Linked DNA regions of Elephas maximus indicus. The protein of the gene in region 4 binds, or shares a complex with, the protein of the main gene of each other region. Links are inferred from orthologs where the notes say so. Each region holds a gene or a part of one and is shown on either strand. Other genes may lie near its edges.

Evidence for each region.
Region 1: the proteins of SUMO1 (region 4) and SENP2 are in contact, whole or in part, in a crystal structure (PDB 1TGZ), measured with the Homo sapiens proteins. The link is inferred for Elephas maximus indicus from reciprocal best matches to the Homo sapiens genes SUMO1 and SENP2. Residues at the interface, in NP_001005781.1 of Homo sapiens: Asn60, Arg63, Leu65, Glu67, Gly68, Gln69, Arg70, Ala72, His75, Glu89, Tyr91, Gln92, Glu93, Gln94, Thr95, Gly96, Gly97; in NP_067640.2 of Homo sapiens: Asp386, Lys394, Leu395, Arg396, Trp410, Leu411, Asn412, Asp413, Glu414, Thr440, Phe441, Pro444, Lys445, Arg456, Trp457, His474, Val477, His478, Trp479, Met497, Gln542, Gly545, Ser546, Asp547, Cys548, Gly549.
Region 2: the proteins of SUMO1 (region 4) and DAXX are in contact, whole or in part, in an NMR structure (PDB 2KQS), measured with the Homo sapiens proteins. The link is inferred for Elephas maximus indicus from reciprocal best matches to the Homo sapiens genes SUMO1 and DAXX. Residues at the interface, in NP_001005781.1 of Homo sapiens: Lys17, Glu18, Tyr21, Ser32, Ile34, Phe36, Lys37, Val38, Lys39, Thr41, Thr42, His43, Lys46, Leu47, Ser50, Tyr51, Arg54, Gln55; in NP_001135441.1 of Homo sapiens: Glu731, Glu732, Ile733, Ile734, Val735, Leu736, Asp738, Ser739, Asp740.
Region 3: the proteins of SUMO1 (region 4) and PML are in contact, whole or in part, in a crystal structure (PDB 8DJI), measured with the Homo sapiens proteins. The link is inferred for Elephas maximus indicus from reciprocal best matches to the Homo sapiens genes SUMO1 and PML. Residues at the interface, in NP_001005781.1 of Homo sapiens: Gly19, Glu20, Tyr21, Ile22, Lys23, Ser32, Glu33, Ile34, His35, Phe36, Lys37, Val38, Lys39, Thr42, Lys46, Leu47, Ser50, Arg54, Glu84; in NP_150241.2 of Homo sapiens: Glu554, Arg555, Val556, Val557, Val558, Ile559, Ser560, Ser570, Ser571, Ser572, Arg573.

Annotation. Positions count from the first base shown.
Region 1 is NC_064819.1:29,551,101-29,558,801, forward strand, and holds the start of SENP2 (sentrin-specific protease 2), read right to left. Parts: upstream 3,002-7,701; 5' UTR 2,858-3,001; coding exon 2,757-2,857; intron 698-2,756; coding exon 642-697; intron 1-641. UniProt on the Homo sapiens protein: Protease that catalyzes two essential functions in the SUMO pathway.
Region 2 is NC_064819.1:96,114,975-96,122,260, forward strand, and holds the start of DAXX (death domain-associated protein 6), read right to left. Parts: upstream 3,008-7,286; 5' UTR 2,908-3,007; intron 2,012-2,907; 5' UTR 1,960-2,011; coding exon 1,753-1,959; intron 1,602-1,752; coding exon 770-1,601; intron 651-769; coding exon 439-650; intron 285-438; coding exon 56-284; intron 1-55. Other genes in the region: SMIM40 (small integral membrane protein 40), read right to left, coding at 5,083-5,322. UniProt on the Homo sapiens protein: Transcription corepressor known to repress transcriptional potential of several sumoylated transcription factors. Down-regulates basal and activated transcription.
Region 3 is NC_064831.1:64,098,284-64,105,933, reverse strand, and holds the start of PML (protein PML), read right to left. Parts: upstream 3,016-7,650; 5' UTR 2,933-3,015; exon of another isoform or gene 1,909-2,932; coding exon of another isoform or gene 1,715-1,908; intron 936-1,714; coding exon of another isoform or gene 723-935; intron 90-722; coding exon of another isoform or gene 1-89. Other genes in the region: STOML1 (stomatin-like protein 1), read left to right, coding at 1-89, 723-935, 1,715-1,908.
Region 4 is NC_064824.1:101,097,330-101,104,633, forward strand, and holds the start of SUMO1 (small ubiquitin-related modifier 1), read right to left. Parts: upstream 3,005-7,304; 5' UTR 2,861-3,004; coding exon 2,849-2,860; intron 1-2,848. UniProt on the Homo sapiens protein: Ubiquitin-like protein that can be covalently attached to proteins as a monomer or a lysine-linked polymer.

The DNA.
Region 1 (7,701 bases), on a different chromosome or scaffold from region 4:
AAGTTTCCAAAACTTTCATCACCCCAAACAAAAACTCTGGACCCATTAAGGGACAGCTCCCCGTTCTCTCTCTTTAGCCCAAGGTAACCACTAATATACTTTCTATCCTTATGCATTTGTCTATTCTAGATAGTTCATATAAATACAACTATACACTCTCTGTCCTTTGTGTCTGGTTTATTTCACTCAGCATAATGTTTTCAAGGTTCATCTATGTCGTAGCATATATTAGAACTTCATTCTTTTTTTTTTCCTTTTCAACTCTTAACCTAGTTTTATTTTCTTCTACAAAGCCACATCTAACCCTTCAGATATGAGGAAGTACAAGATTTGTGACAATACATTAGATTTTTTTCACTCAGTATTCAACCTAAATCATTCAGCTTGGGTTAGGTTTTACAATGTTTCTTCCTCAAAAATGAAAAGCACCTTTTCTGTATAAGATTTAGAATTTAAAAATAAATACCCAACATATCTAAGCTGGACGGTCCCTAGTAACAGTGGTTATCTCTAGAAAAGATAACTGAGTAGGAAAGAGACAGCAGAGACTTTTCTCAGTACATACAGTTTACCTTTAGAATTTTGTTTCATCCATATACTTTTCTTATTTAAAAAATAATTTTTAAATTAATATTCAGTACCTAATCTCGGTCTTTTGGCTGGTATTTCATCAGTGTCCACTGTGGAAAACAGACTGCTGAAAGGAGACAGAGGGGAAAAAAGTGTATATATATACATATATGTATAGTACATATACATATGCAGACATATATACGTAAACATATCCACTTCTACGAGCAAACTTACTATTTATACAACACACTCTTTTTCCACCCACTTCATCATAATTATGAGATTCAACTGATGGTTTAAAAGAACACCGCTCTATGGTGTTGTTAACTGCCATCAAGTTGATTCTGACTCGTGGGGACCCCAGCAGGTCTTTAGCATTTGAGGATTTAACACTAAGGTTTTTAACTATTTGAGAGTGACCCAGAACTCCCTATCATATAACAATCTGTAATCAAGCTGAGATACAAACTTGAAATGGGCCATGAGTCACTTAGCTAGTAGACGAGCCTAGGTAAGAGCCCTGAACTAGTAGCTTTTTTTTCTCTCCAGAAATTATTTGAAAACAAGCAAGGAAATCATTTGAAAGATGATCCCAAAGAAAGTTACCTTCTACTTCAAACAATAAACATAAGCAGTCTTAAAATATAGCTCCTAGCCAGGAAAGGTGTTATGTGCATCTTTATCATGGAAATTTGATTACAGTGGAAATAAAGAATTTGCCAATTCAGGAACATTTCTAAAGGTATACCACAAGAATGTTAAAGGCTCACGGCATACTACCAATCATCTTACTGAATACTTTTAATGATATTCACCAAAAAAAAAAAAAAAAAAAAAAGAACAGAATGAGATCCAGGAGGATACCATTCACTTCATGACTTTAAACACACCAACCAGACGCCCTGACTTCATTCTGGCTGAAAAATGGCTTATGTTGAGAACAGTGATTTTAGATTAAGGATGTGAGCACTTAAAGTGTGGTAAAGAACAGGCTTTTGATCTCCAAACCACTGTTCTCCTGACTAGCAGGGATTCACAAAAGGAAGAAAAGGGAAGAGAAACATTCCTTTCCTCGGTAACTCTGTTGTACCAAGTGTGTCCTATGCACCAGATACCACAGAAGGCCCTGCGGCAGACTAAACCAATACTACCTTTATATATACTAAGCATCAGGTTAGGTACTTTACAACATGATCTTAAATGGTCCTCCTGTCAACCCAGCCGAAAGGTAGAGAGGAGGAATAGGTTGACCTCATGCCCTTTTTGCAGCATGTAACAGAATTTAGCCAACTGCCAATTTCATCAATGGCCTGCATCCTCAGGCGCCCGTATTATCATCTTGTTCTCTCAGCTCCCAGAAACCATTTTTTTCCATCTTCTCTTATTTTGAAGCTTAAAAACAATGAAATTAGCACTTCATCACCAGAAGTTGGGGAGCGGGCCTGTATGGTGTTTTATTCTCTAGATAAATTATTTAGTCAGGGAGTAGATATTATAAAAGGGGATAAACCAAGGAATAGATGCTAAGTAGTAACAGCTTTTAGTTTCCCCCAAATTTTATAGCACAGACTAGTGATCTTTTTGAAGAATGAGGTACCTAACTTCTTGTCTCATAGGCCGATTTTAAAGCACAAAACCACTCCCCCCGCCTCTCAAACACACACAGCGTTTGACAGCTGTTTCAGAACAAGACAGCTGCTGTCTCCTGGTGCTAAGAGAACACTGCTCGCAGTCACATCCCTTTGGGCAAGCTATGAATCTCACTTCTCTTTAACTGTCCTAACTGCCCGACGATGACGCTTGGGAATCTGCTTCGTAAACAGTGAACCACAACAAAGACAACATTCCTTCCCTGTTTAGCTTTCAGCATAAAGGCAACAAAATACGACACAGCCCGATTTGCTGTCAGCAACCACTCGGACTCTGACAACAGGAAAGAGCCTACCACCGGCGGCCTCTCCAAAGACCACCTCTCCCCGGCTCCTTCCTTCACCCGGAGCCGCATCCTCCCAGCGTGGAGGGAGTGGCTACGTCACCAGGATACCCGCGACCCGCACATCTTCGGCCTCATCCCAGCCAGCGGTTCGGCTGAGCAAGGCTGTTGGACCTGGATCGGCGCGACCCCGGGCTGGGAGTGGGGTACAGCCAGGCCTGGTTGGCACTCAGTCCCCTTCTCTTCTCACCTGTTCGAGCGCCGCCTCTTCAGGAGGGCCCGGGCAGGGGGCACCGGCCGGTCACAAAAACGGAAAATGGTGCCGAGAATTCTAACCAGCCATTTGTACATACCAGGCCCCAGCAGCAGCGGCGGCCGATACACCCCGAGACGCAAACCCCAGAGCTTTCGCCGCCACTGCCGCCTTTGCCGCCTCCGCCACCACCGCCAAGGCTCAGTCGCCGACTTGTGACGCAATTCGAAGGCCGGCAGATAAAACGTCCCCAGGGCTACAGGAGGCCCCGCCCACCACCACTCCCGACGTCACCTCCTCCAGCCCGACCGGAAAGCCGTCTGCGTTCGGATCTTCAGCCCCACCTCCCCACAAGATCCCTGTGGGCGGGTCCCGGCCCAATCGTTGACGAGATCGAAAGGGATGTGGGCGGGGTTTTCTCTCTAGCGGAGCCAATGCTGAGGCGGACCGCGGGACAAGGCCCACAGGCAACACGTGAGGGCGTCTGCACCCGGAAGAAGCGCTACCGGTCCCTGAAACAGTACAAATTAAAAAACAGAACAAAACCCGTGACCCTCAAGTCCGTTCCGATTCACAGCGCACCCTATAGGACAGAGTAGAACTGCCCCATAGAGTTTCCAAAGACCGGCTGGTGGATTCGAACTGTCAACCTTTTGGTTAGCAGCCAAGCTCTTAACCACTGTTTTTGTTGAATGCATAAGACAAGGGTAAAAACAAAAAATAAAAATAAAGACAAGGGTAGGCCAGGTTAATTAAAAAATGTTTATCGTGATCGATACCTTTTATTTTGCATATACCGTGTGCCCGGGAACTTCGCGTGTATTGTCGCCTTCATTTCTCCCTGCAACCGCAGGCGATAGAAGTCTTGTGCTCATTTCATAAACAAGAAAACTGAGGCACAGAGCTATTAAGTAATTCGCCTTGGATCACAGAGCTGCCTAGTGGCGGAACTGAAATTTGAACCGGAGTCTGACCACCAGCGCCCGTCTCTCGCCCTTGAGGTCAGTCTACTAGGAGAGACGTGTACACAGATAACTACAAGTCATAAATACAAGGTAGTTGGCTGTTATAAAAGTGTGTGCAAAGTGCAGTGGGAGCCAGAGAAAGGAGAACCACACGCTGGGGGAGACAGGGGCAGGGTAGAACTGCTCAAGGAAGGCTTCACAGAACCTTCGGGACGGAAAGACACCCGCTGCCTACAAGGCCAGCCAGGGGTGCTTTTCATTACCCTCCCTTTGTAACCTAGAGATCACACTTGTAGTTAATTACCAAACATAGAGCAAGACCCCAGCCGATTTAATGATAGAAAACCCAGTACCCCCTGGATCCAACACCCCCCAAACAATTCGCAGAATCCTCAAAGGTTTTGTGTTCCACAGATCCATCCCTGTCTGCACTTGTTCTTCCACCTGTGATTCAGTTAAGGCTGGCACTGTCCAGTACAGCCTCCTCAACAGACCAGAAAAAAAAAAACAAACCCATTACCTTCGGGTCCATTCTGACTCACAGCAACTCTGTGAGACAGAGTAGAACTGCCCCATAGGGTTTCCAAGGAGTGGCTGGTGGATTCAAGCTGTCAACCTTTTGGTTAGCAGCTGAGCTCTTAACCACTGTGCCACCAGGGCTCGCCTCAACAGACAGTATTCTTGAATTCTGCTGCAAGTCACCTCCTAAAGCTCCAGAACCATCAGCCTCCCACCTGAGGCCACTACCACTTGGGGCTGGGGGTGGGGAACAGTTCCTAGAAGGTGGAAGCAAGTCCCAAGGGTTGACCCAGGTCCTTCCGTTAATTCTTCAAAGCCTAGCTACCATCAGGCTGTTACTGAAAGTTTGGGAATAACGGAAGGCCGAGAAGAAGACTTAGAGTTAGCTATTATTCAGTATCTACGGTCCATTGCTCATGTCCTCCAGGGACACTACGAGCCCTAAGGCCACTCTCCTCAACATCTTTTCATAGGCCACCTACCTGTCCCATTTTAGGCCAGACTCCCAGTAAATTTCACAAGATTTGGGAGCCCTCTCAAAAGAAGATAACATTGTTATGCAGAGCAGTTCAGCTATTAATAGCTCAACCCTCCTTTCCACCAAAAGAGGTCGTCTTTATTCCCATACTCGTTTTTTTTTTTTTTAATCCTTTGGGTGGTGGATTTTCTCCAAAGCCAAAGAGCAGCCTTTGAAGAGCAGCTTTAGAAGAGCAACTGATCATAGAGATTTAAGAAATATTGGGGTCAAGTCTCAGAGTACCCCAGTACAAAACACCAAGACAATTTTCTTGCTTTTCCTGCCTCGTTAATAGCACCTGCCATGAAAAGGGAACGTGTGTTGGCTTCACCGACCTCAGCTGGAATCCCAGGGCCTTAAGCACAAGCGTGCACACACACACCTCCACATACCCTCTGTGTCCTCTTAATGGCCAGTGGAGGGGCTACCCTCTAGAATGGAAAAAAAAAGGCGGGGACTCAGACTTAAAGTTGCTCCCGCCTGAGATTTGTCCAACAGATGGTGCCTTGTAGTCCACAGTAGGGTTGTGAGCCAAAGCCCCTCCACTGGCCATGGAGTATGGTTACCCTTAAATCCAACCCCATCACTGCTAAAGGTGTTCCTGGACCCAAGAGTCCCTCACTGGAGAGTCAGGGGAGAATGCCCCGGGGCCAAGTGGAGTAACCAGGATGTTGAGATTTCTGCTTTTGATTTGGTTAATTTGTGCCCCTGTACCGCAGGAGGGGCACAGCCTCATAGCTTCAGCCTACGCAGGATCCGTCTCCCAAACCATGCTCTGGTTTTCTGCAAGGATCCTAATCCCCCTCCCTCGGGGATCCTTACCTTCTAGCTCTTCCAGGCCCCACCCCATTGTCCTCAAAACCTACCTCAGTTTCACAGGTCAAAGAAGACTCAGCCCCCCCAATCCATCCTTTGGTCTTGCAAATTTTCCCTGTAGCATTCATTGAATGTAAAAGATTTCTGCTCAGCTTTGGTTTTGCTGACCTCTTTGGGGAACAGAGTTCTGGACCATTTAATGGAGGTAGGCACCCAAAGATGGGATGTTGTTGCTTTGGTCCTGAAGTGGGCTAACCAAAACCCCAAACTCATTGCCATCCAGTTGATTACAACTCATCCTGACCCTGTAGGGCAGAGTAGAACTGTCCCATAGAGTTTCCAAGGAGTGTCTGGTATATTCCAACTGCCGACCTTTTGGTTAGCAGCCAAGCTCTGAACCATTGTGCCACCAGGGCTCCAGGTCCCGGTTAGAGTGGGAGAAAAATATATAACAAAATTAAAATTCATAAAAAAGACCAGAGTGACGGGTCCGATAGAGACTGGAGGAACCCTGAGGCTATAGCCCTAAGACACCCTTCTAGCTTAGAACTGAAGCCACTCCCAGAGATCACCTTTCAGCCAAATAATAGATTGGCCTATAAAATAATAACACCTGTGGAGAATGTGCTCCTTAGAACAATCAACTACACAAGAGTAAATGGGCAATGTTTGCCCAAAAGCAAAGATGAGAAGCAGAAAGGGGGCAGGGAAGACAGACAAATGGAAACGGGGAAGCCGGGTGGAAATGGGGAGCATGCTGACACATCGCAGGGATTGCAGCCACTGCCACGAACACTTTGTACATGAATTATTGAACGGAAAACTAGTTTGTTGTGTAAACTTTCACCTAAAACACAATAAAATGTTCAAAAAATAAAAAGTCCACATACTCCTTTCTCATACTGGATTTCATTACAAAACTTGCCCACATTTACCACAAACAGCTTGGCCTTGCTCTGATGGAGAAAGAGCAGCAAGCCCTATGCACGCCTGTTTCCTAATCTATAAAACGACGTTAATAAAATCTGCCTCTCAGATTTACGGAGCTTACCTCTGTGCCCAGCCCAAGAGCCACCTGCCATCAAGTCGACTCGGACGCATGGCGACGCCTACGTATGTCAGAGTAGCACTGTGCTCCACAGGGATTTCAATGGCTGACTTTTTAGAAGTATCAAGCCTTTCTTCTGAGATGCCTGTGGGTGGACTCGAACCTCCACTCTTTCGGTTAGCATGTGAGAGCATTAACTGGTTGCACCACCCAGGATTTCTCTCTGGCACAGGTAAGTGCCTAGTGCCTCTCTTTCCTCTTCTTTCTTATCTAAAATCCATGGGACTGATGCACCATTATTTAAAACTTCTCCCCAAATTTTTGTTTATTAGGTTTTTTAAAGAATTAAAAAAAAATTTTTTTTATTCTGCTTTAAGTGAAAGTTTACAAATCAGGTCAGTCTCTCACACAAAAACTTATATACGCCTTGCTACATACTCCCAGTTGCTCTCCCCCTAATAAGACAGCCTGCTCCCTCCCTCCATTCTCTTTTTTCGTGTTCACTTCGCCACTTTCTAACCCCCTCTACCCTCTCATCTCCCCTCCAGGCAGGAGATGCCAACATAGTCTCAAGTGTCCACCTGATCCGGGAAACTCACTCCCCGCCAGCATCCCTCTCCAACCCATTGTCCAGCCCAATCCATGTCTGAAGAGTTGGCTTCAGGAATGGTTCCAGTCCTGGGCCAACAGGAGGTCTGGGGGCCATGACCACCGGGGACCTTCTAGTCTCAGTCAGTCCACTAAGTCTGGTCTTTTTACGAGAATTTAAGGTCTGCATCACACTGCTCTCCTGCTCCCTCAGGGGTTCTCTATTGTGCTCCCGGTCAGGGCAGTCATCGGTTAAGCCCGGCACCACCTAGTTCTTTTGGTCTCAGGCTGATGTATTCTCTGATTTATGTGGCCCTTTCTGTCTCTTGGGCTCGTAATTACCTTGTGTCCTTGGTGTTCTTCTTTGTCCTTTGATCCAGGTGGGTTGAGACCAATTGATGCATCTTAGATGGGCACTTGCTAGCGTTTGGTTTTTTAAAGAATTTTTAATGAGAAAAAATATTTTGCTTCTGTCTGGTCATCCTGCAT
Region 2 (7,286 bases), on a different chromosome or scaffold from region 4:
ATGCTCAACAAAGTAGAGGGAACTGACACATGGGGGGAATGCTTCCCTGACATACCTGCTTCCTCCTCCTCCTCTTCATTGTTCCCCTGACCTTCCTGCATCTGTTCCAGATCCTCCTCCTCTTCAGAATCTGTAACCTCCTCCTCTTCTTCCTCCTCTTCTTCTTCTTCCTCCTCCTCTTCTTCTTCCTCTTCCTCCTCCTCATCACTTTCCTCATCTTCTTCCTCATCTGTCTCAGCCTTGGAGGTGGTAGGACACTCCTGGGATGCTATTCCACTAGGGCCCTAGAGGACAAAGGAGTTTCTCTAAGAAATCCCTTGCTCCAGAGTCCAGCCCTTGCTTTCTTTCTGCACATTCCCCCAGCAGTCACCCCAGACTCCCTGGAGGCCAGTGCAGGGGAAGGACATGGCCTCTCTGAAGGAGGTATCCCTCTCATACCTCACCAGAATCTGAGGAGGCTCTGGGGGGTTCTGCAGGGTGGCCAGAGGTGCCTTTGAGCCGAGCCCTTCTCTTCTGTCTCTCACCCTCCTCACTCTGATCTTGCATCATTGCATATTTGGTGATGACCTCATCCAGCCGGCTCATGGCCAAGCTCCGGTTTTCCCGAAGGCGCCGAGCCAGGATGGGATCCAACAGTGCAGGGTCAATGCCTATGTGGGAAGATATAAAGTCAGAGCATTCAGCCCAAACTCTAGAAGGAGAGACTAAAGGGATGCCCCTCTGCCACACACCTGATGGGTTGCTGATGGGCATCCTGCAAACTCCCTACCTGGCCTATAGTCATCTGTGAGGTGGCAGCCAAAGTTGTAGATGAGATCAAGGTGGCGTCGTTCCTGTAGCCTGATGCCCACATCTCGGAAGGCATCCTGAGCCATGAGCTGGAGCTGCTGCCGAGGGAGGCCGAGGCTGTGTCGAGCAGCTGCCTTCTCTACGGCCCGCAGCACATCTCTATAGTCAGGGAAGGTATCAGGCCCTGGCTTGTTGATAAGCCGCTCAATGCGCCTGTTAACCTCTGGGTAGCGGGTTCCACGGTAGGGGATGCGCTGCTCTATAACACGGCCGGTCAGTGAAGAGCAGTCTTTCAGCTCACACAGGCGCCCAAAGAGGCGGATCAGCTTACGCTTCAACCGTGCCTCCTGTAGGTATGTGGAATCCGGGTCATCCAGTTCTGAGAGATCCAGCTCCTTCTCCTGCAGCCTCCGTATCTCTGCCACATAGAGGGCCAGTAGCTGCTCCAAGTGCTGGATCTGCCGCCGAGAACCACGGGTCCTTGGGGCCTCAGAGGCAGTGGTCTCAGCATTTGTGGAGTCTAAGGGGGGGTCTGTGGGAGGGTTATTTCCAGAGGGCTCACTGGAGGTGGTGGCAGCAGGTGACAGGTTCAGCTTCTTCTTGGCTGAGTGGGCCTTGAGAACAGTGCAGAGCTCGTTGATGTAGACATAGAGCTTAGCTGGCCGGCTCCGGGCCCGAGATAGGACCCGAGAGAGGATGTTGCAAAACTCCGCCGAGGCCAAAAACAGAGAATGGGCTCGCTGCTGGCGGTTATAGAGGAATGGGACCACCTCAGGGTGCTCTGCCGTCTGCATCTTACACAGTTTAAGGAACTGGACAGTTCAGAGGAAGAAAGGAGAGGAAAAGAGACAAGGGAGATGGTTGAGAGGAAGGTGAGGTGGGGTTAGCAGGGAAGAAAGGACAGGAGAGCCAGTCAGCCCTCCCCCTCCCTAGAGTACAAGAATCTCCTCCCTTAAAGCTCACCTCTTCAAACAGCTTCTCATTCTCCAACTTGTAGCATTTCTTGCTGCCCGAACTACTGCTTCCTTCGGACACACAGGGCTCAGAGGGGCCAGGGGCTTCTGCCCTGGGCGAGGCCGGATTGGGGGGTGGGTGGGAGGGCCCTGGCTGAGCAGCTGCTTCATCTTCGTCATCATCATCCAGCACGATGATGTTGTTATCGGTGGCCATGGGGGATCAAATCCCCCGGAGGGAGGAAGTGGTGGGGATTTCAGAAATCCTGCTGGAAGGGGATGGGGCCTCAGAAAGAGCCCCTCCAGCATAGCCCCATCCCTTCATCTCACACATTTTCCAATCTCCTTGGGTTTCAGTAATACCCAGCTCTGCCCAACAGTGTCTTCACTGACTATCATCAGCAACCATTAGTTACATATACTTTTCGGGCCCTGCACCTGGGAGGGGGATCCCCAACCACCTACAAACAGTAAGTTCCTATCTCCAGCTCCACCCCTCAGATCGATTTCCGGTCTTTCTGTTTCGTTTATCCAAGGTTTCTCACAGTTGGCAAGTTGATCCTTCCTCCCAGGACAGTTTACCACACTGCATCTTATTTCTTTGACACCCTCTTGCACAGATGCTACATCACTGTTGGCACACCCCACGTTTTCCCCCTTTCGCCCTCAACCACGTCAAACCTGCACCCCCCACCCCATCCTGAATGATCACCCCAACTCCTACACTCTCTGTGGAGGAACAGGTTCTCTCCCAACAGCCCATTCTCCTTTCTTCTCCTTGAATTATTCCCATATTCCACCGTCTAATAGGTCCCTTCAAACCGGGGCTTTAAAAAAAAAAATTAGGTTGGAGATATTTTACCTCGAATCCCCTCCCTCTCACCCCACCCTAATTTTCCCTTTTTTCTCCGTTGACCCGTAACCGCTCGTGAGCCCCTGACTGGGCTCTCTTGATTCCTCTTCAATCCCAATCCTGGGTCCGGCCCCCTTCCCCAGGTGAGCTTCCCGCCAAATCCCCCCTCCCCCCGCAGTTCAGCCCCCGGCCGCTCTCTCCCCTTCAGGAATAGGAGGTACCACAGTTTGCTCTCGAGCTCAGCTCTCGGGTCTCCACAATACCTCTCCCTCGATATCCCCACCCTGTCTGCCCGCACCGTCCAGCGCCCACCTCAGAAACGGTCTCTCGAGGCGACCCTCACCGCTGATCTCAGAACCTCGCATGCTTCTCTCCGCCTTCCTTCCCCCTCCCACCGCAGTCCCTACTCAGGACCGGAAGCCGCAGAGTTTCCGCTTACATGCACCTAGGCGCAGCCATCTTATGATACGGAACGTTGTCCTGTGGCCGGAAGTGATGTAGTCCCGCCCCTCGAGTATCTCCAGTAGTCTGCGGCGCCCTATCCCCTAACCTGTAGGGGGCGTGGTTTGTCCCTTCAAGGAGTGCGAAGCACCCGGGGATCGCCATTTTGCCGTACGGCGTTGTCTCAGTCCGGACTTATGCGCGAAGCCAGTGAGGCTCTTTTCACCCGGTGCTTCTGCGATTCCGCCAATCAGAAACTTCTTGCACTGAGCGCAACCGCCGGTGAATCGCGTGCAGGGAGGATTGAGCCACTTTTCCAATTGGGCGGGGGGGGAACGGAACAGGACAGATAAGGAGTTGGGTTCCCCAAGGCTGTGGAAGGTTTCATAGAAGAGTGAGAATCTCTTAAGAGGAAAAAAAATCCTTTCCTTCCGCTGGGCTATTGACAAACCTTCCGGCCCAGATTTCCTATCTCCCAGGTGTTGGTTTGCAAAGCTTAAGCAACTGCGTCCGCCCCTTTTCTTCCGACGGCTGCACGCCCCTTGCTGCTACCCTCCATCTAGCTCTACATCTAGATGCCTCCATCTCCCCATCGTGAAATCATAACACATGCACACGAAGAAGCACAACGCGCTACACAAATGCGTTATTATTATTGCCACTGTTGATTTGCTTTTCACCCATCACCACGTAACGATCAATCAAGCAGATGGGACCTGGGTTGTTTTCTGTTCTTCTCGAGAGGGGTTCCCCGACGCGCAGGAGGCGCTGACCAGGAGGCTGTGCTTCGTAGAGGAGTCCAGCGCCTAAGGACCGGCGATGGGGCAAGGGTTTTAAGAATCTGATCAAATTGCCACTGTAAGGGTATGAGACAAAATGAGAAATGAGTCTCGTGAAGTACCTGGGGTCTCGTCTCCTCTTCCTGTGGGATTGCTGTGGAAAGAAGGAAGGAGGAAGAAACTGATTGTGATGCCTGTCTCACCCGCACCCCTTCGGCCAGCTTTAGTGGGGCTAGAGGGACTCGTCAAGGCAGGGGCAAAGTCCAGAGGTGAGCTCATGTGCAAACCCAAAAGATTAACACGACTCCAGTCTCTGAGATTTTCACCTCCTGCATCCTGTGCATTCCATAAGTAGCGAGCATCTTCCCACTTTCTAGTACCACCCTTACATCCCCCACATCTTTGGAATCCCAGAACATCAAACCTTCCCTCCCATTAAAGAATTCCACACCACTTCTCTCCAGTTCTCTAAGCCTAAGTCTTCAAATTGAGACCATGAAGACACTCCAAAGGGTACCTGAGCATGGGCGTTTTACTGGATCTAATTTCCAGATCCTCACCTTTCCCAAAATTGTTTTCCTGAGTAAGCACCGGCAGTACAGGTTCTCTTTCTTCCCTTCCCCTTTTACAATGGACTTCCTCCCTCTTAAAAAAAGAAGAGTATAGCTCTCAACCATAAAATCTCTGTGGTAATCTTTTTTTTTTTTAGTTAATCTTACCTTGTCTCAAAGAGACAAAGAGCCTATTCCTTTCATCCAAAAAACCAAACCAAACCCTTTGCGGTTGAGTCAATTCCGACTCATAGCGACCCTCTAGAAATGGAGCAGAACTGCTCCATAGGGTTTCCAAGGAGTGGCTGGTGGATTCAAACTGCTCACCTTTTGGCTAGCACCCCAACTCTTAACCACTATTTCACCTGGGCTCCATCAAGTCACTATGATATCTCAATTCAATTTGACATTCAAAAGGGTGATTTAACTATTTTATTTTAAAATGTGAACATTATTAATATGCCAAGATTGATTTCAATTCTTGAAGCAACCTTAATTTATGATGAAAAATTTTAGATGCCACTTAAAAATGAGAGATTACATACGTTTTCAAAATTATTTCATAATTATTTATTCTCAAAATTACTTCAAGGAAATTAAGATTGCTTCTCTAAGCTATATAAATGTCCCCTCCACAACCCCCAACAGTCCCATTTCCCTCCTGTCTCCCCTCTCACCTCTGTGGCAGGGAGAGAGAATGCTTCTAGGAAAGATGGTCACAATTCCAGCTCTTGCTCCTTCTGAGGTGTTTGCAGGAGCCAGTCCCCAAACTTTGCCCATGGTAGCAGCCACAGCAGCTTATAGGCAGCCTGCAGCATCAGCAGTGTCAGGAGGAGGACCAGGAAGATAAAGAAGGCCTTGTCCAAGGTCTGACGAAGGGGACCCCTGGGAGGAGAGGGACCATGGGCAAACACCAGGAACACATCGTCCTCGTCCACATTGCCTTCCTCTGCCATCCTGAACCCCAGTCTGACAGCTGGCTGGATCAGGGAGGTTGGCATGGAAGCCTTGCTCAGCACTGCCAGGATTAAGGGGTGTGGTGCTTGCAAGTCCTGCACCTGTCTTGACCCTAATTCCCCCACTCAAGAGAGATAAGAGAGCCTTTGGAGCAATCATTTAATTACCCAGTATAAAGCGAATGGTCTGGACTAAACAATCCCTAAAATCCTGTCCAGTTTTACCACTTTATGATTCTGTGATTTGGAATCATTAGGCCCAACATAGAGACAAACAAACTGGAACAAGCAGGCAGCCCAACTGTCCACATTCTGGGTCTTTAAGGTCAAGGCTCAAGGTCTGGGGACCCTATAGAGAAAGGGTGAGCAAGTGGACCTTGTGTGCTACTGTGAGCTGCTGTCCGTCAAGGAGGGGGCTGGGCCTTTTATTTTTCAGTTGGCCGTTAAAGTCCCTTTGGGTTTGACAGCGGGTGGCTGGCTGGGTGGGGGCCTCTCCTGAGGGGGTTGGGGACAAGTAGCCGAGTGCCCGGGGTCTACAGTCAGCTCAGGCATAGTTCTCCCGCCCCACCCCCACCCCGCCCCGCCCCACCCCCACCCCACCCCCACTCACGTCTGCCTTTGGCTGAGATTGGACGTTATAACCTAGACCTTTTGGAATTTTGGGAGAGGCGGATTATAATTGGACATCGTGAGCTCAAGGGGTGGTCATAAAAAGAGAAAGATTTTGATTGGTCGGTGGGTCCAAGCGGGGTAGTTGCGAACTACTGGGGCAAATACAAGCCAAGGAGTTGCCTTTTAGTCTAAAAAAAGCATGGCCACGCCACGTGTGTCAGAGTAACTGCTCCATAAGGTTTTCAGTGGCTGATTTCTCAAAGAGATTACCACGTCTCTCTTCCAAGGCGCCTCTCGGTGGACATAAACCGCCAACCTTTCTGCTGGCTAAGCATGTTAAAGTTTGCACAACCCAGGAACTCCAGGGCAAAAATAAGATGTGAGGTTTGAGAGGGATAGAGATGTCGTTTTCTTGTAGGATTTTGTCTTAAACATAAAGAAATGCTCGGGTTTGCCATGCATAAATTCCTTTAGTTTATTGCAAGGTAGTCATGGCAAGGCACGCACTGAAGTCTTCCATTTTAGAACCCAAGAATAAGAATTGACAATTACAATTACAGTGTTAGTTCAGTAGTTAGAGTCCCAATCTTTAGACTTAAAGCGTTTACCTTTTACAAGAGGTTCTCGGGAGGAAGACTGACCATGGCTGGAACTTGGTGGAGCTCCCGCATAGCTAGGGTCCGAGGTCTGTAGCGGTGGGTAGCCTGCAAGCTCTCATAGTCTTCGGAGAAAGTCAGAGACTAAAGAGATACTTTGCCTCTGCCTGCCTCTCAGAGCATGAGCCGAGATCCAGTGTATACATGTAATTTTTAATTTGACCTTGCACAATAAGGATTAGGTGATGTCATGTTTAACAGAGACTAGTATGTCACCTTTTTTTTCTTCAAGGTCAAAGATTTGGTGGTTGTTTACGACTTACCTAGTGTCTCAAGACCAAGTAACACAGAGGCAATTTTATGTAATAATTCCTTTATCATATCACATATGTGCCGAGCCAATTTAGGAACGTTTTTGTTATAGCATAGATGCAACAAATATGTTTAGGGAGGTTTTTATCATATACATGTGATGAGCCAATTTAGGGAGGTTTAACTATATTTTACATCATTGCAAAATACTTCAAACTTTTGTATTTCTAATTTAGAGACCCCCTATCTAGTTATAAGTTACAATTTATTTATCATAGCACATGGATGCAGTGCCAGCATCTAGAGGTTTTTTACTACATTCTATTTATCAATTTCTAAAGTTAATTTCTAAAGTTAGAAGTTTTCTAATTAACTATCTGATGTTTTATAGTTATAGTTTCTAATACCTTGTAAGCTGTTAATGACATAAGTTTTCTGGTTAGA
Region 3 (7,650 bases), on a different chromosome or scaffold from region 4:
CCTGGACAGCACCCTCCAGCAGCTGGCCCTTCACTTCCTGGGAGGAGGCATGTCCTCAGTGGCAGGAGGTGCCCTGCCCCCGGGGCCAGGTGAGGAGCCCTGCGAGGATGGTAGGGGAGAGGAGGCCGCTCTTCATGTACCTGGGCTGAGAGAGGAAATGGAGACTTTTTGTGGGGAGAAGGGTGTTTTGTGGGAGGTTGGTGCTAGCCAGGGCTTCTCTAGCTCATACAGCACCTTTGATGGAGACAGAAAAAGGCATCTAGTTTGGGCATATGGGGCCCTGCACCAGAGCACTCAGCTTGGCAAGCAGAGCACAGCTCAGGCTGCACTTGGCCACGTTCTTCCTTAACCAGGCACACTTGTGCAGGGCACACCCTGCACAGCTGTTCAAGCAGCCCTGATGCTAGAGCTGACCAGAGCTAAGGCAGTGAGTAGAGTCCAGGTGTCTGGGAGTGTGGAGGCCTTTGGGAACCCCCATGGGAGGGAGGCAACAGGGCCCAGAGGGAAGCTGGGAAACGAGTCTTATACTCAAAGCTGGAGTAGGTTGAGCTGGCTGGGGGATTAGGGCTGGAACCCAGGGGGTGCTTCTTAGCGGAGAAGGAAGTTGATAGAGGCCTGAAAGGGCTATGAGGGGAACTGCCGCACACAGGTACTGAGGCCACAGTGCCCTGGCCTTGGCAGCACACTGACCTTTGCTCCCTCCTCTCTGCCTCCCTCCCCAGCAGACACCTTGGAGATGGTGAGTGAAGTTGAGCTGCCTGCCCCCAGTGTCAGCGCTGGGCCCAGCCTGAAGCAGCCTGTGGCTGAGGAGCTGCTGACTGCTCTGCAGCCCTTCCTGTCTGAGGCCTTGGTCAGCCAGGTCGGAGCCTGCTACCAGTTCAATGTCATCATGCCCAGTGGCACCCAGAACATTTACTTCCTGGACCTCACCACAGGTGCGACAGCCTGCCTGCCCTTCTTTCCTACCCAGGTTGCTTGTAGGTCCCCCCACCCCCAGTGGTCCTCTTTCAGACTGTCTCCTACTCCTGCCAGCAGTTTCGGGTGAACTCAAATGGCAGTCTGGGGCTCAGATGCCATTTTCCGACAATGATTGTCCAGGCTCGGCCCCCCACCATTGGCAGTACAGCTCAGAGGGCCAGGCGTCCCACACCAAGAGCCTGCGTGTGTTGTGGCCCTACTGTGTCGCAGGCACTGTGTGAAGCACTTCTTGTGTGTTATTGCACCTGATTCTATGATTTAGGGATTGCTATCATCCCCGTTTCACAGATCAGGAAACTGAGGCTCTGAGCGGCCACACAGCCAATAGGACTGAAACCCAGGGTGTTAGCACCTCAACTCCAACCACTGCTTTCCACCTCTCCCAGTCCAAAACAAAAACCAAACCCAGTGCTGTCAAGTCAATTCCGACTCGTAGCGACCCTATAGGACAGAGTAGAACTGCCCCCTAGAGTTTCTAAGGAGCGCCTGGCAGATTCGAACTGCCGAGCCTTTGGTTAGCAGCCGTAGCACTTAACATCTTTGGCACCAGGGTTTCCCCTCTCCCGGTAGGACGTGATAACCCTGCAGTCCAGCAGTTCTGAAACAGATGGAGGGAAGGCTTTTTGTATTGCGGATAAGATCCATTTTACAGAATAGGTCAGCAGGGGAATTCAGCAGCACCCCTCCCCCATCCCGGTAATCACCCCACTAACACTCCGTTTTCTTTCCCCAACAGGGCGAGGGAGAGTGGGACGTGGGGTGCCTGATGGCATCCCTGACGTGCTGGTGGAGATGACCGAGGCGGACCTGCGGGCCCTGCTTTGTAGGGAGCTACGGCCCCTGGGGGCCTACATGAGCGGGCGGCTGAAGGTGAAGGGTGACCTGGCCGTGGCCATGAAGCTGGAGGCTGTCCTCAGGGCCCTGAAGTAGCAGCAGCCTCAGCTGACCACCTGTAGCCCAGCCTCGAGCTTGGTGCCAAGCCAGGAAGGCCTCTTGGAGGAGGAGGCAGCACTGTTGATGCACCTTGGAGAATTGAGGCTCTCTGGCATTTCAGGCCCAGCTGGGGCCAATGGACAGAGGCTGGCAGACAGCGGAGGCCGAGAGAGGCCAAACCAGGCTGTTTTGCCCTTCTTGCCTGCAACACTGGTTCCCTGGACAAGCCTTTGCCCATCCCCTGAGCTGGGTACATAGTGTGGATGGGCCTGCCCTGCTCTGCTGCCTACCTGGCTGGGAAGCCAGGACCACAGAAACAGCCTGGCAGCAGCTGCTTTAGCCTTGAGCGAGGGGCCAGACTGTGTGGCTCCGGCTCGGAATGCTGGGGGAGCTCAGAAGGAGGGGTGCAGAAAGGGTTGGGGGAGGGAGAAGCCAGGCAGCCACCGAGAAGCACTCACTACAGCGGAGGCACCTGGGGATCCGGGCTGGGCCCGCCTTCCTGGGTGCAGCCCAGGCCCAGGCTAGTTGGAGGGTGGGGATGGGAGAGAGCAGGGCCTGCTCCTCCCCTGGCCCTGCTCCTGAGGATAACCTGATTCATGTACCGGCCGTCTTGCATGCGTGATGGGCCGGGACCCAGGGCAGCATGAAGGGAAGCCCTGCTGTTCCCGTGCTTCTAGCCAGAGGCCTGAAAACCTCCAAAAGAAATAAATGTGTTTACAATCAGAAGAGAGAAGGAGTGGAGACTGGATGTAGTGGGAGTAGCCTAGGAGGGTCCATGAGGCAATGCCCCTACTGCTGGGCCAGGGCCACGGGGGTCCAGATACCCCTGCTGTGCCCTTCTTTGCTGAGTGACTCCAAGTGTTGACTCCTCCCACAGGCAGGAGGGTGGGACAGGGGGTCACTCTGTTATCCCTCTTTATGGTGGAGGTACAGGTTTACTAGGAGAGAGGGGCATGGGCAGGTCAAAACTGGGCCCCCAAACACCTGGACCTAATGAGGGGTAGGGCGGGGGGCTCATCACCTTAAGGAGAGGGGCTGGGCTGCAATCATCCTCTCCTGGGCCACCCAGGGTCACTGCTTGTTTCTCCACTGGCTGAAGGGGTGCACACAGATAGACGTTGAGGCCTGGCCCCAGGGGCCCAGTGGGTTTCTCTTCAGTGCCCCAGCCCCAGAGGCCCCAGAGATGGGCCTCCGACTTCTCTAGTCCTGAGAAATGAAGCTTACTTCCTGGAGAGTGTTACGGAAAAAAACAGACAAAAATCAGAGCTAAATGAGTGTCTCCTTTGAGGAACAAGCTCAGCTTGTCCTCTGGAATCAGGCCTGGCCCTCCCAGGGCGTGCTCCCTCTTTGTCCAGGTCAGGCTGGTCCAGCTTGCCCCTCTGCTCCAGCCATTGCCTGGCACTGCGTTTTCCCTCCTCCTGTGTGTCTCCACAGTGCCTGAGGCACCTCCCTAAGGCCCAGCGCAGACCTCACGGCCATGGGGATTCAGGCTTTAGCTCTAGGGCGCCCTCTCCCCAAGCCTGGAACATCTACAGGTGTTTCCGGGCCCTGAAACTTTCCAGCTGGGGTTGTCTGTGCCCTCTAACCCTTACTGGCCCCTTTCAGCTGGGACTAAGTCTTCCCTCCAATCCCCAGCAGCCACACTCCCATGCCCCTTGAGGCCCCGTGGGGATGGCAGTGCTTGGTCCCTAGGTGTTCCTAATGTTTGCCTGCCTTGCCTGAGGGACCATGAACTGCGCGAGTGAGCGATTCATGTATTCCGTCATCCCTATTGCACACAGCAGGCACAGCGTTAACAGGAAGCCCCGCAGATCCTCACCAGGACAGCCGTGCCTTTGCCGTGCCTTTGCCAGAAGATAGCACTTACCCCTCCAGGCTGAGCCAGGGGAGACAGGAATGATGAGATCAAAACCTAGGAGAAACTGAAACTGCTGAGTTTCTCTGTGGGTTTGAGAAGAGCAACGTAACATTTAGGGGAAACTGAAACTTTTCTGGATATTTGTGTGGGTGGTGGCACAGCGGTTAAGCGTTTGGCTGCTACACAAAAAAAAGGTCAACAGTTTGAATCTGCTAGCTGCTCCTTGCAATCCCTATGGGGCAGTTCTGCTCTGTCCTACAGGGGATCGACTCGAAGGCAATGGGTTTAGTTTTGGTTTGGTGTGGGTAGAGGACAGGACCTACCCAGCCAACATGGGGTGAGGAGGGTGTGGGAGAGAGTTCATTTCTTGGCCAGGGCAACACTACAGGGGAAAGGAGTGCATAGGCTCAAGGACCCTGGGCTATGGAGGATTAAGCAAACCTTGGAGTCCACAAAGGGTGAGGACTGCCATGGAGGAAGGGAGCATGAGGGTTATGTCAATCACAGGAGTCTTCCTGGAGGAGGTGATGCCTGAGACTTGAGGCTAAGTGGGCCATGAGAGAAGAGGAGGGGAAAGATAGTCGGCCAGAGGGGAAGGCCCCTGCAAGGGTACAGGCGGAAGAGGCACGTGGGCACTTTCAATTTGGGGAACTGGAACCTAAAGTATGAGAGGGATGTGGGCAGGGATTTTGGGAGGGGACAAAAATAGTGGCCATTATCGGGTGTTGTATGTGTCACTGTATTGGACTCAACATTGCCTATATATTATTTTTTTTCCTCAAGACAACCTGGTGAATAGTACTTTTAAAATGTTTATGCTATGTTGATGTGTTAATATATATTAATATTGGTGTTTTTTTGGAAACTCTATGGGGCAGCTTTACTCTGTCCTCTAGGGTCGCTATGAGTCGGAATCAACTCGACGGCACTGGGTTTTTTTGTTGGTTTGGTGTTATTTTAAAATAATTATTTAATTTTTAAATAGCTAATACATTCACATGGCTCAAAAATTTTTTAAAGATTAAAAAGGCACAAAGAAAATGATTTCTCACGTTCCTGACCCCATCCAGACACTTCGCACACCTTCCTCCAAACAAGTACCCCCTGCTATTAGCTTCTTTGTTATTCTCCGAGAAGTTTTTTTTTTTTTTTTTAATCCATTGTCTTAGGCTGGGTTCTTTGGAAATGCTAAACGAGTGAAGCGCTTCTCTCTGTCTTAGTTATCTAGTGCTGCTATAACACAAATACCACAAGTAGATGGCTTTAACAGAGAAATTTATTCTTTCGCAATCTAGGAGGCTAGAAGTCCAAATTCAGGATGCCAGCTCCAGGGGATGGCTTTCTCACACTGCTGGCCCTGGAGGAAGGTTCTTGTCATCAGTCTTCCCCTAGTCTAGGAGCTTCTCAGCACAGGGACCCCAGGTCCAAACGACACACTGTTCTCCTGGCTCTTGTTTCTAGGTGGTATGAGGTCTCCTTGTCTCTCTGCACACTTCTCTCTTTTATATCTCAAGAGAGGCCGATTTAAGACACAACCTAATCTTATAGATTGAGTCCTGCCGAATTAACATAACTGCCTCTAATCCTGTCTCAACACCATAGAGGCAGGATTTACAACACATAGGAAAATCACATCAGCTCACAAAATGTTGGACGGTCGCACAATACTGGGAAACATGGCATAGCCAAGTTGACACACATTTTTTGGGGATACATTTCAATCCATAACACTCTGTATATGTAAGTATAAGGAAGAAATGATGAAGTAAACTGAACAGAAGATTTCAAATGGTGGCGCAAGAAAAGTAAAGTATTAAAATGACGTGCAAAGAACTGGAGATAGAAAACCAAAAGGGAAGGACACTCTCGGTGTTTCTCGAGCTAAAAGAGCTGAAGAAAAAATTCAAACCTTGAGTTGCAATAATGAAGGATTCTATGGGGAAAATATTAAACGACGCAGGAAGCATCAAAAGAAGATGGAAGGAATACACAGACTCATACCAAAAAGAATTCGTCGATGTTCAACCATTTCAAGAGGTGGCATATGATCAGGAACTGATGGTACTGAAGGAAGAAGTCCAAGGGACTCTGAAGGCATTGGCAGAAAACAAGGCTCCAGGAATTGACGGAATATCAATTGAGATGTTTCAACAAATGGATGTAGCGCTGGAGGTGCTCACTCGTCTATGCCAAGAGATATTTAGACCAAAACTAAACCCATTGCCTTCGAGTCGATCCCCTGTAGGACAGAGCAGAACTGCCCCATAGGGATTGCAAGGAGCAGCTAGCAGATTCAAACTGTTGACCTTTTTTTTGTGTAGCAGCCAAACGCTTAACCGCTGTGCCACTGACTGGAAGAGACCCATATTTATGCCTATTCCCAAGAAAGGTGATCCAACTGAATGTGGAAATTATAGAACAATATCATACGCAAGGAAAATTTTGCTGAAGATCATTCAAAAACCGCTGTAGCAGTATATCGACAGGGAACTGCCAGAAATTCAGGCCAGTTTCAGAAGAGGACGTGGAACCAGGGATATCATTGCTGATGTCAGATGGATCCTGGCTGAAAGCAGAGAATACCAGAAGGATGTTTACCTGTGTTTTATTGACTATGTAAAGGCATTTGACTGTGTGGTTCATAACAAATTATAGATAACATTGCGAAGAATGGGAATTCCAGAACACTTAATTGTGCTCATGAGGAACCTTTACATAGATCAGGAGGCAGTTGTTTGGACAGAACAAGGGGATACTGATGGGTTTAAAGTCAGGAAAGGTATACATCAGGGTTGTATCCTTTCACCATGCCTATTCGATCCGTATGCTGAGCAAATAATCCAAGAAGCTGGACTATATGAAGAACGGGGCAGCAGGATTGGAGGAAGACTCATTAACAACCTGCGTTATGCAGGTGACACAACCTTGCTTGCTGAAAGTGAAGAGGACTTGAAGCACTTACTAATGAAGATCAAAGACCACAGCCTTCAGTATGGATTGCACCTCAACATATAAAGAAAACAAAAATCCTCACAACTGGACCAATGAGCAACATCATGATAAATGGAGAAAAGATTGAAGTTTTCAAGGATTTCATTTTACTTGGATCCACAATCAACAGCCATGGAAGCAGCAGTCAAAAAATCAAAAGACGCATTGCATTGGGTAAACCTGCTGCAAAGGGCCTCTTTAAAGTGTTGAAAAGCAAAGATGTCACTTTGAAGACCAAGGTGCCCCAATCCATGCCATGGTATTTTCAATCGCATCATATGCATGTGAAAGCTGGACAGTGAATAAGGAAGACTGAAGAAGAATTGACACCTTTGAACTGTGGTGTTGGCAAAGAATATTGAATATACTGTGGACGGCCAAAAGAATGAACAAATCTGTCTTGGAAGCAGTACAACCAGAATGCTCCTTAGAAGCAAGGATGGCGAGACTGCATCTTCCATACTTTGGACGTGTTGCCAGGAGGGATCAGTCCTTGACAAAGGACGTCATGCTTAGCAAAGTACAGGGTCAGCAGAAAAGAGGCAGATCCTCAACGAGGTGGATTGACACAGTGGCTGCAACAATGAGCTCAAGCATAACAATGATTTTAAGGATGGTGCAGGACCTGGCGGTGTTTCATTCTGTTGTGCATGTGGCCGCTATGGGTTGGATCCTACTCAACGGCACCTAACAACCGCAACAACGTATATATATATATATGTATATATTTCTATCTGTACATGCATACATATACATACAGAGAGAGAGAGAGAGATTCATATCAAGGAAGTGGCTCATGCAGCTGTAGAGTTTGGGAAATCCTAAGTTCATGCGTCAGGCTGAAGTCTTCTCCTGACTCATATAGCTGCAGGGGCTGGTGAACCCAAGAG
Region 4 (7,304 bases):
TCTCAAATTTTTTGATCTCAGGACTCTTTCACACTCTAAGAAATTATCAAAAGCCTCATAAACCTTTTGTTAGCTTCACAGCATGAGATTTATAGTATTAGAAACTGAGAAAACTTTCGTTTTAAAATAACAATAAACCCATTGAAAGTTAGTAAATAACATTTTTATTCAAACATGTTTTCCACAGGGGTTCAAACTGAAATAAACCAGTCTGAACCCCTGTTGAGAATTTCCTTTATAATAAGTTCCCGGAGCCCTGGTGGCACACTTGTTAAGAGCTTGGCTGAAAAAGGTGAGCAGTTCAAATCCACCAGCCACTCCTTGGAAGCCCTATAGGGCGGTTCTAGTCTGCCCTATAAGGTCACTGTGATTCGGAATCAAGTGTATCGCAACAGCTTTTTTTTTTTTTTTTTGGTTAATAAATTCCCAGGAGATGCTAATACTGCTGGTTAGAAACAAATCCTGAGAACCACTAGCAGGGCAGTGGCTTTCAAAAGTTAGTATACATAAGAATAACCCAGGAATCTCGTTAAAATGTAGATTCTGAATCAGAATATCTGGGTAGAAATGCACATTCTTGGCAAGGGGTTTGAACCGAAATAATCCAGCTCAGAAGCCCTGGGTGGGGGGGCGGGGGTTCTTTTTAATTTTATTGTGCCTTAGGTGAAAGCTTACAGCTGAAGCTAATCTCTTATTCAAAAATTTATACACACATTGTTTTGTGACACTGGTTGCAATCTCCACAATGTGACAGCACACTCCCCCTTTCCACCCCGGGTTCCCTGTGTCCATTCATTCAGTTCCTGTCCTTTCCTGCCTTCTTCTCTTGCTTTTGGACAGGAGTTGCCCATTTGGTCTCATACATTCGACTGAACTAAGAAGTACATTCGTCACGTGTGTTATTCTTTGTTTTATAAGCCTGTCTAATCTTGTCTGAAAAGTGGGCTCAAGCCCTGGTTTTTCAAAACAAAATTCATGGGAAGCTTGGCACTGTTTTTTTGCAAATCTCTTTACTTTCTGGGTTTAACAGAATGCAGCAGGATTCTCACATCTGCTTCTATATTCAATCTGTTATGATATTACAGGCCACGTAGCCTCTAGAAACTCCACGGAAAGAATGAGAATGAAAAGGGCAAAAAAAAAAAGTCCCATCATCATCATGAAAATAGTTTGGGCTTTCCAGATCCCCTGAAAAGAATCTCAAGGCCACTTTGTTAGTATTGTAGGCCCTTTGTTTCTTCCTTCATGTCTTTCTTAAATGACCTAACTTCAAACCAGGGCAAAAAATTCTACAATTTATTTTATAATTCTTTCTGTGTGTTACTCTTTCCTCAGGCTATGTAGCAAATTTCAACATGCATCCTAGTCACTTCTGAGCATCACAGTAAAAGGCTGATGAAACTAAGCATTTACACCTGTTCTTTCCTCTCTGTCAACCAAGTAAACAACTGTCTAGGGAAATACTTATAATGCCATTCCCATAGCCAACTTGGGAATTAATCTAGACCCATTCGAAACTAATTTAGATTATGGTTAATTTTTAAAAACATAAATGTAAGTTTTATGCAATAGTACAAATCCACGAAGGCCTAACTTGCTCTCACCAAGATATACAAAACTTGGTTAAAGGCCAAGGGAACGTGTGTTAAATTTAAAAGTTCAAGTAAACTGTAGAGTTGAACAAAAAACATTTTTTTATAACTGTCACTGAACAAATAAACGGTCCAAAAATACTTTAAAAAGTCATAGTCCTCTGAGCAACTAAAACAAAGACCAGACAAAAACCTTGTGAATTAAAAACTAGCCATAACCGTGGTTAACGAGATGAACGAATGGGGGAAAAAACTTAGCTGGGAAAATCGATCACTCCCGATTGGGTTCAAATCCCAAGAAAATTCCTGACAGTAACACTGGGTCGTTATGAGTCGGAAGCGACTCGACAGCATCTAACAAGACTATTGAGATGGAGCACCTCGTCATAGGGGCAGCTTTCTGCAACTGCTCTACATACACTTAGTTTTCCTATTCTTTCCTCAGAGGTATCAGTCATCTCCAGGTTAATGTCCAGATGCAGGGGGTTTCTGTTGTTCTAGTACTCTTGTTCTGCTTTGTTTCTTGGTTATTCTGAGTGCTCTGTTACAACTGGAGAGTTGCTGAACCAATCCCAAGTAAGAAATGGGAAAGTACAAGTAAAGAGGCAACAGCTCTGCACCCCCAAACGGAAAAAGGATTCAAAGAGACGCGGCGGCCCGGCTCTAGCTGTAACCCTCCGAACAGAAGACATCTTCCTAAGTTCCCAGCAGCACCAAACAACATCTTCCAGCCCGAGTTCCACCCTCCTACCCACTCTGGGACCTTCCAAAGACCGGCGTCCAAAAAGTGAAACCCATCTGCTTTTCAAGGCCACGGAGCCTCCCAGTCAGGGAATTCTCTCCCGTTACATAACCGAGGCCTAAGGCCCTGCTTCTGCAATCAGTCCTCAGGAGAGTGAGGCGGCTGGGTTCCCCAGGGACCCTCTCTGGGAGGTGGAAGCTGAGCTCTGCACCTGGCAGACCCCAAGGAAAAGGAGGGACGAAGGGAGAGAGGCGGTGACCAGAGGCGCCGAGGCTTTGGGGGCGGTGGGCGAGCTCAGAGAGGGGCGGGGCGGCTTCTGGAGGCCGGCGGCAAGCCCCGACGGTGCCGGCCCTCGCCAGCTCCCCTCCCTCGCTGTCCGGGTCCAGGCCGGCCGCCCCCTCCCCCATTCCCCGTTCCCCTCCCCCGCGCCTCCATCCCCGGCCGCAGCCAGGCGCCTGGCGGACTTGCCGGCTACGGCCCCGCCGCCGCTGTCGGACGGCTCCCGGCCCGGTACCTGGTCAGACATGGTTACGGTGGCTTCACCCCAGGGGTCTCCGCACAGCAGTGACCTCGGGCAGACAGAATCTCGCTCCGGGGTTTACAAATCCGTCTCTCTTCCCCACAGCACAACACCGCGGCTGGAGGGACTTCCGCTACGCCTTCCGTCACTTCCGCTACGCGCTGGGAGGGGAAATGGGGGGAGAAGGAATGGCGAGGCGGGAAAACGGATGGGGGAGCGGCCCGGAGATGGCAGGGCCCGGGAGCGGCCATACCGATGGAAGCGCGAGTGATTTAACCGAAATCTCGCCAGTTCATCCAAGGACCAGACCCTGCGCCTCAGTCCCGAGCCCATACACAGGGGAAAAGTCCCCGGCCGCAGTATGGGAACGACATTGACAATTCAGACTCCTACCTTACACCTTGCGCGTTTCTAAAGGCTGAGCCAAAAGCTGATAACTTCCTTTTGTCCCCTCCGGTCTTCTTCGTCGTAAATGTTTCTTAAGTGTGTTGCATTAAATACTGGTACTTCTTACCCAGGAGCTAACCCTTTTAGCTCCAGCCAAACACATAACCTTGATTAAAAAAAAAAAAAAAAGATCCTATTGGACACAACCTTGGCTACTAATGAACAAGACGCTACTGAAAGTTCTCAGTCCCTAAGGAGAGGAGGTTAATTCCGACCCTTGAATACTTTGTTTCGCGTTAAAGAGTTGTCCTTTTACAATCTCTAAAATACAATGACACTATGTAGCAAGGTGTATATAAGTTTTTGTGTGAGAGACTGACTTGATTTGTAAACCTTCACTTAAAGTACAATAAAAATTTTTAAAAATACAATGACACTACAGGCATAAGGCTAGACAAATAGAATCGAGAGTCCAGAAGTAAATCGATCAACCCTCATATTTACAATCTATTTTTTACAAAAATGCCCAGATAGTGGTGAAAGAATAGTCTTTCAGCAAATGGTGCTGGAACGATTGGATATCCACATGCTAAAGAATGAAGTTTTCTCTACCTCACATCATATAAAATATTTACTCAAAGACCTAAATTTACGAGCTAAAACTGTAAAACGCTTAGAAGACAAAACACAGGTGTAAATATCCTTTACCTTGATTAGCCAGTAGTTTCGTAAATGTGACATCAAAAATGCAAGCTACCAAAAAAATAGATAAATTGAATTTCATCAAAATGAAAGATAATCTGATAAGGGCATAATGTCCAGAACATATGAAGAACAATGACAACTCTGATAAAAAGACAGATACCTCAATTTAAAAATGGACAAAGATTCTGAATAGACATATCTCTAAAGTAGGTACAAAAAATGGCCAAAAAGCACATGAAAAAAAAAATTTTTAGGTATAAAAAATGGCCAAAAAGCCCATGAAAAGATGCTCAACTTCTTTAGCCATCAGGGAGTAGGAATTTGAACCCAGGAAATCTTAACTCTATTTCCATCTTGATTTATGACAGGAAAAATGCTCCCTAGAGGAGGCCAATTAAAATCACCTGTGAACAAAAAGTAAAACTAGAACTACCATTCCACTCCTAGGTATATACCCAAAAAACTTGAAACCAGAGACTCACAGATATTTGGACACCAGTGTTCATTGCAGTACTTTGTTTACAATAGCCAAAAGGTAGAAGCAACTTAAATGTCCATCAACAGGTGAAAAGATAAACAAAATGTGGTACACACATACTATGGAATACTACTCAGCCAGTAGGAGAAATGAAGTCTTGATACATGCCATACAATATGGCTGTAGCTTGAAGGCATTATGCTGAATGAAATAAGTCAATCACAGAAGGACAGATATTGTATTACCTCACCTACATATAAAGACAAAACAGCACAAGTAGATGGTACCCGGCTACCACTACTGAGTGCTCTGACAGGGATCACAATAGAGAGTTCTGGACAGAGCTGGAGAAAAATGTAGAACAAAATTCTAACTCAAAAAGAAAGACCAGACTTGTTGGCCTGACATAGGCTGGAGAAACCCTGAGAGTATGGTCCCCAGGCACCCTTTCCGCTCAGTAATGAAGTCACTTCTGAGGTTCACGCTTCAGCCAAGGAGTGGACAGGCCCATAAAACAAAATAGACTAAAGGGGCACACCAGTCCAGGGGCAAGGCCTAGAAAGCAGGAGGAAACCGGAAAGCTGGTAATAGGGAACCCAAGGTTGAGAAGGGAGAGTGTTGATATATCGTGGGGTTGTTAACCAATGTTATAAAACAATATGTGTACTAACTGTTTAATGAGAAACTAGTTTGTCCTATAAACCTTAATTTAAAGTACAATAAAAAAGTTAAAAATATATATATACACAGAAGAAAATGAAAAATATCCATAATCTAATCACCCAGAGATGAAGATTTTGATATATAATTCTTGAAAAAAAAAAAAAGGCAAGAACAAGCAAATGTACAGAAACCAAAATTTATTCGTGGTTACGGGGAGTGGGGGCAGGAGGGAGGGGAAAAGGGAGAGCTATTGCTTCCGGGGAAACCCTGGTGGTATAGTGGTTAAGTGCTACGGCTGCTAGCCAAAGGGTCTACAGTTCGAATCCGCCAGGTGCTCCTTGGAAGCTCTATGGGGCAGTTCTACTCTGTCTATACGGTCACTATGAGTCGGAATCAACTCAATGGCACTGGGTTTAGTGCTTATGGAGTACTGAGTTTCAGTTTACAGTAATGGAAAAATCACATTTATTAAGGGTAAGCTTACACAGCTGATTAATTGCTGTCAATAAGTTGTAAAACATTGAATTTGCAGAAGATGTGTGATAGATATATTTACAACAACAAAAAGTAGCTGCTGAAGCTTATGTGTAACCAAACACGTCATGGAATTGGTCTCTTTGGAGGTTTCGGGTAATGGTTTCATGGGAAATCCCAGCTAATAGACCTAATAGTGTGTTCAGTGCTTCTGTTTTACCTCCTAGTTTGTCATGTCGTGCAGGGGGTCTTAAAAGCTTGCAAGTGGACATCAAAGTTACAATAATTGGCCTCTATCCATCTGGAGCAACAGAGGAAGCAGACTCAGGAATAGGAGGAAGAAATGGAATGTGTGGCTAATTACCTCCATAAACATATGCCTCCTTTGCCATGAGACCAGAAGAACTGGATGGTGTCCACCTACAACTACTGAACACTTTAATCAAAGATTCCATAGAAGAATCATGATCAAAAGGGGGAAAATGCAGAACAGAATTTCAAAATCTCACAGACTCTAGACTTTCTAGAGACATTGAGGCTGGATGAAGCTCTGAAACTTTTGCCCTAAGATAATCTTTAAACCCTAAACCAAAATACCCCCTGAAGTCTTCTTAAAACCAAACAATAGTTTAGCGTAACTAGTAAAGAATGTCTACCTTGAGTATTGTACTCTTTTAAGATTTATCTATATAGGATCAAATTGACAAGGACAACTAGGAAGATTAGATAGGAAACATAGGGGGCAGTGAGTTTATGACAATGGGGGGAACAACTCAGAAAATAAGTGTGAGAATGGTTGCACAACTTGAACAACATAATCAATGTCACTGAACTGTACCTGTAGAAATTGAATTAGTATATGTTCTGCTGTGTATATTCTCTACAGCAACAAAAATGAAACAAACAAAAAAAATCACCCAAGAAGGTTTTTGGATTAAGCAAATCATCCAAATGAAATGTTCTTGAGAGTTTATTCCTTTCTGCCTCACTCCCCACCTTGAAAATCACTGCCATAGCAAACCAGTTATGGCTGGAGTGTAGTACTACATTCCTCAGGTTGTTATGGTAATAAGCAGGTGGTTTGAATTTAAGATTTCAGGGGTGGAGAGATTCTTGGAGATAACAAGGATAGGGGTTTCCATGAATGTGAGTGCCTAAAGTGTCCTGGGAAATGAAGAGATGGAGGAATATGAGATGAAGCATTGGATGATGTCTTAGTTATCTAGTGCTGCTTTAACAGAAGTATCACAAGTGGATGGCTTTAACAAAGAGAAATTTATTCTCTCACAGTCTAGTAGGCTACAAGTCCAAATTCAGGGTGCCAGCTCCAGGGGAAGGCTTTCTCTATCTGTGAGCTCTGGAAGAAGGTCCTTGTCACCAATCTTTCCCTGGTCTAGGAGCTTCACCGCACAGGAACCCCTGGTCCAAAGGACACGCTCTGCTCCTGGCACTGCTCTCTTGGTAGTGTGAGGTCCCCCCTTTCTGCTTGCTTTCCTTTCATCTCCTAAGATAAAAGGTGGTGCAGGCCACACCCCAGGGAAACTCCCTTTACATTGGATCAGGGATATGACCTTAGTAAGGGTGTTACAATCCCACCCTAATCCTCTTTAACATAAAATTACAATCTCAAAATGGAGGACAACCACACAATACTGGGAATCATGGCCTAAGCAAGTTGACACATGTTTTAGGAGGACACATTTCAATCCATGACAGATGGGTTATTACATGGAATGTGAAATC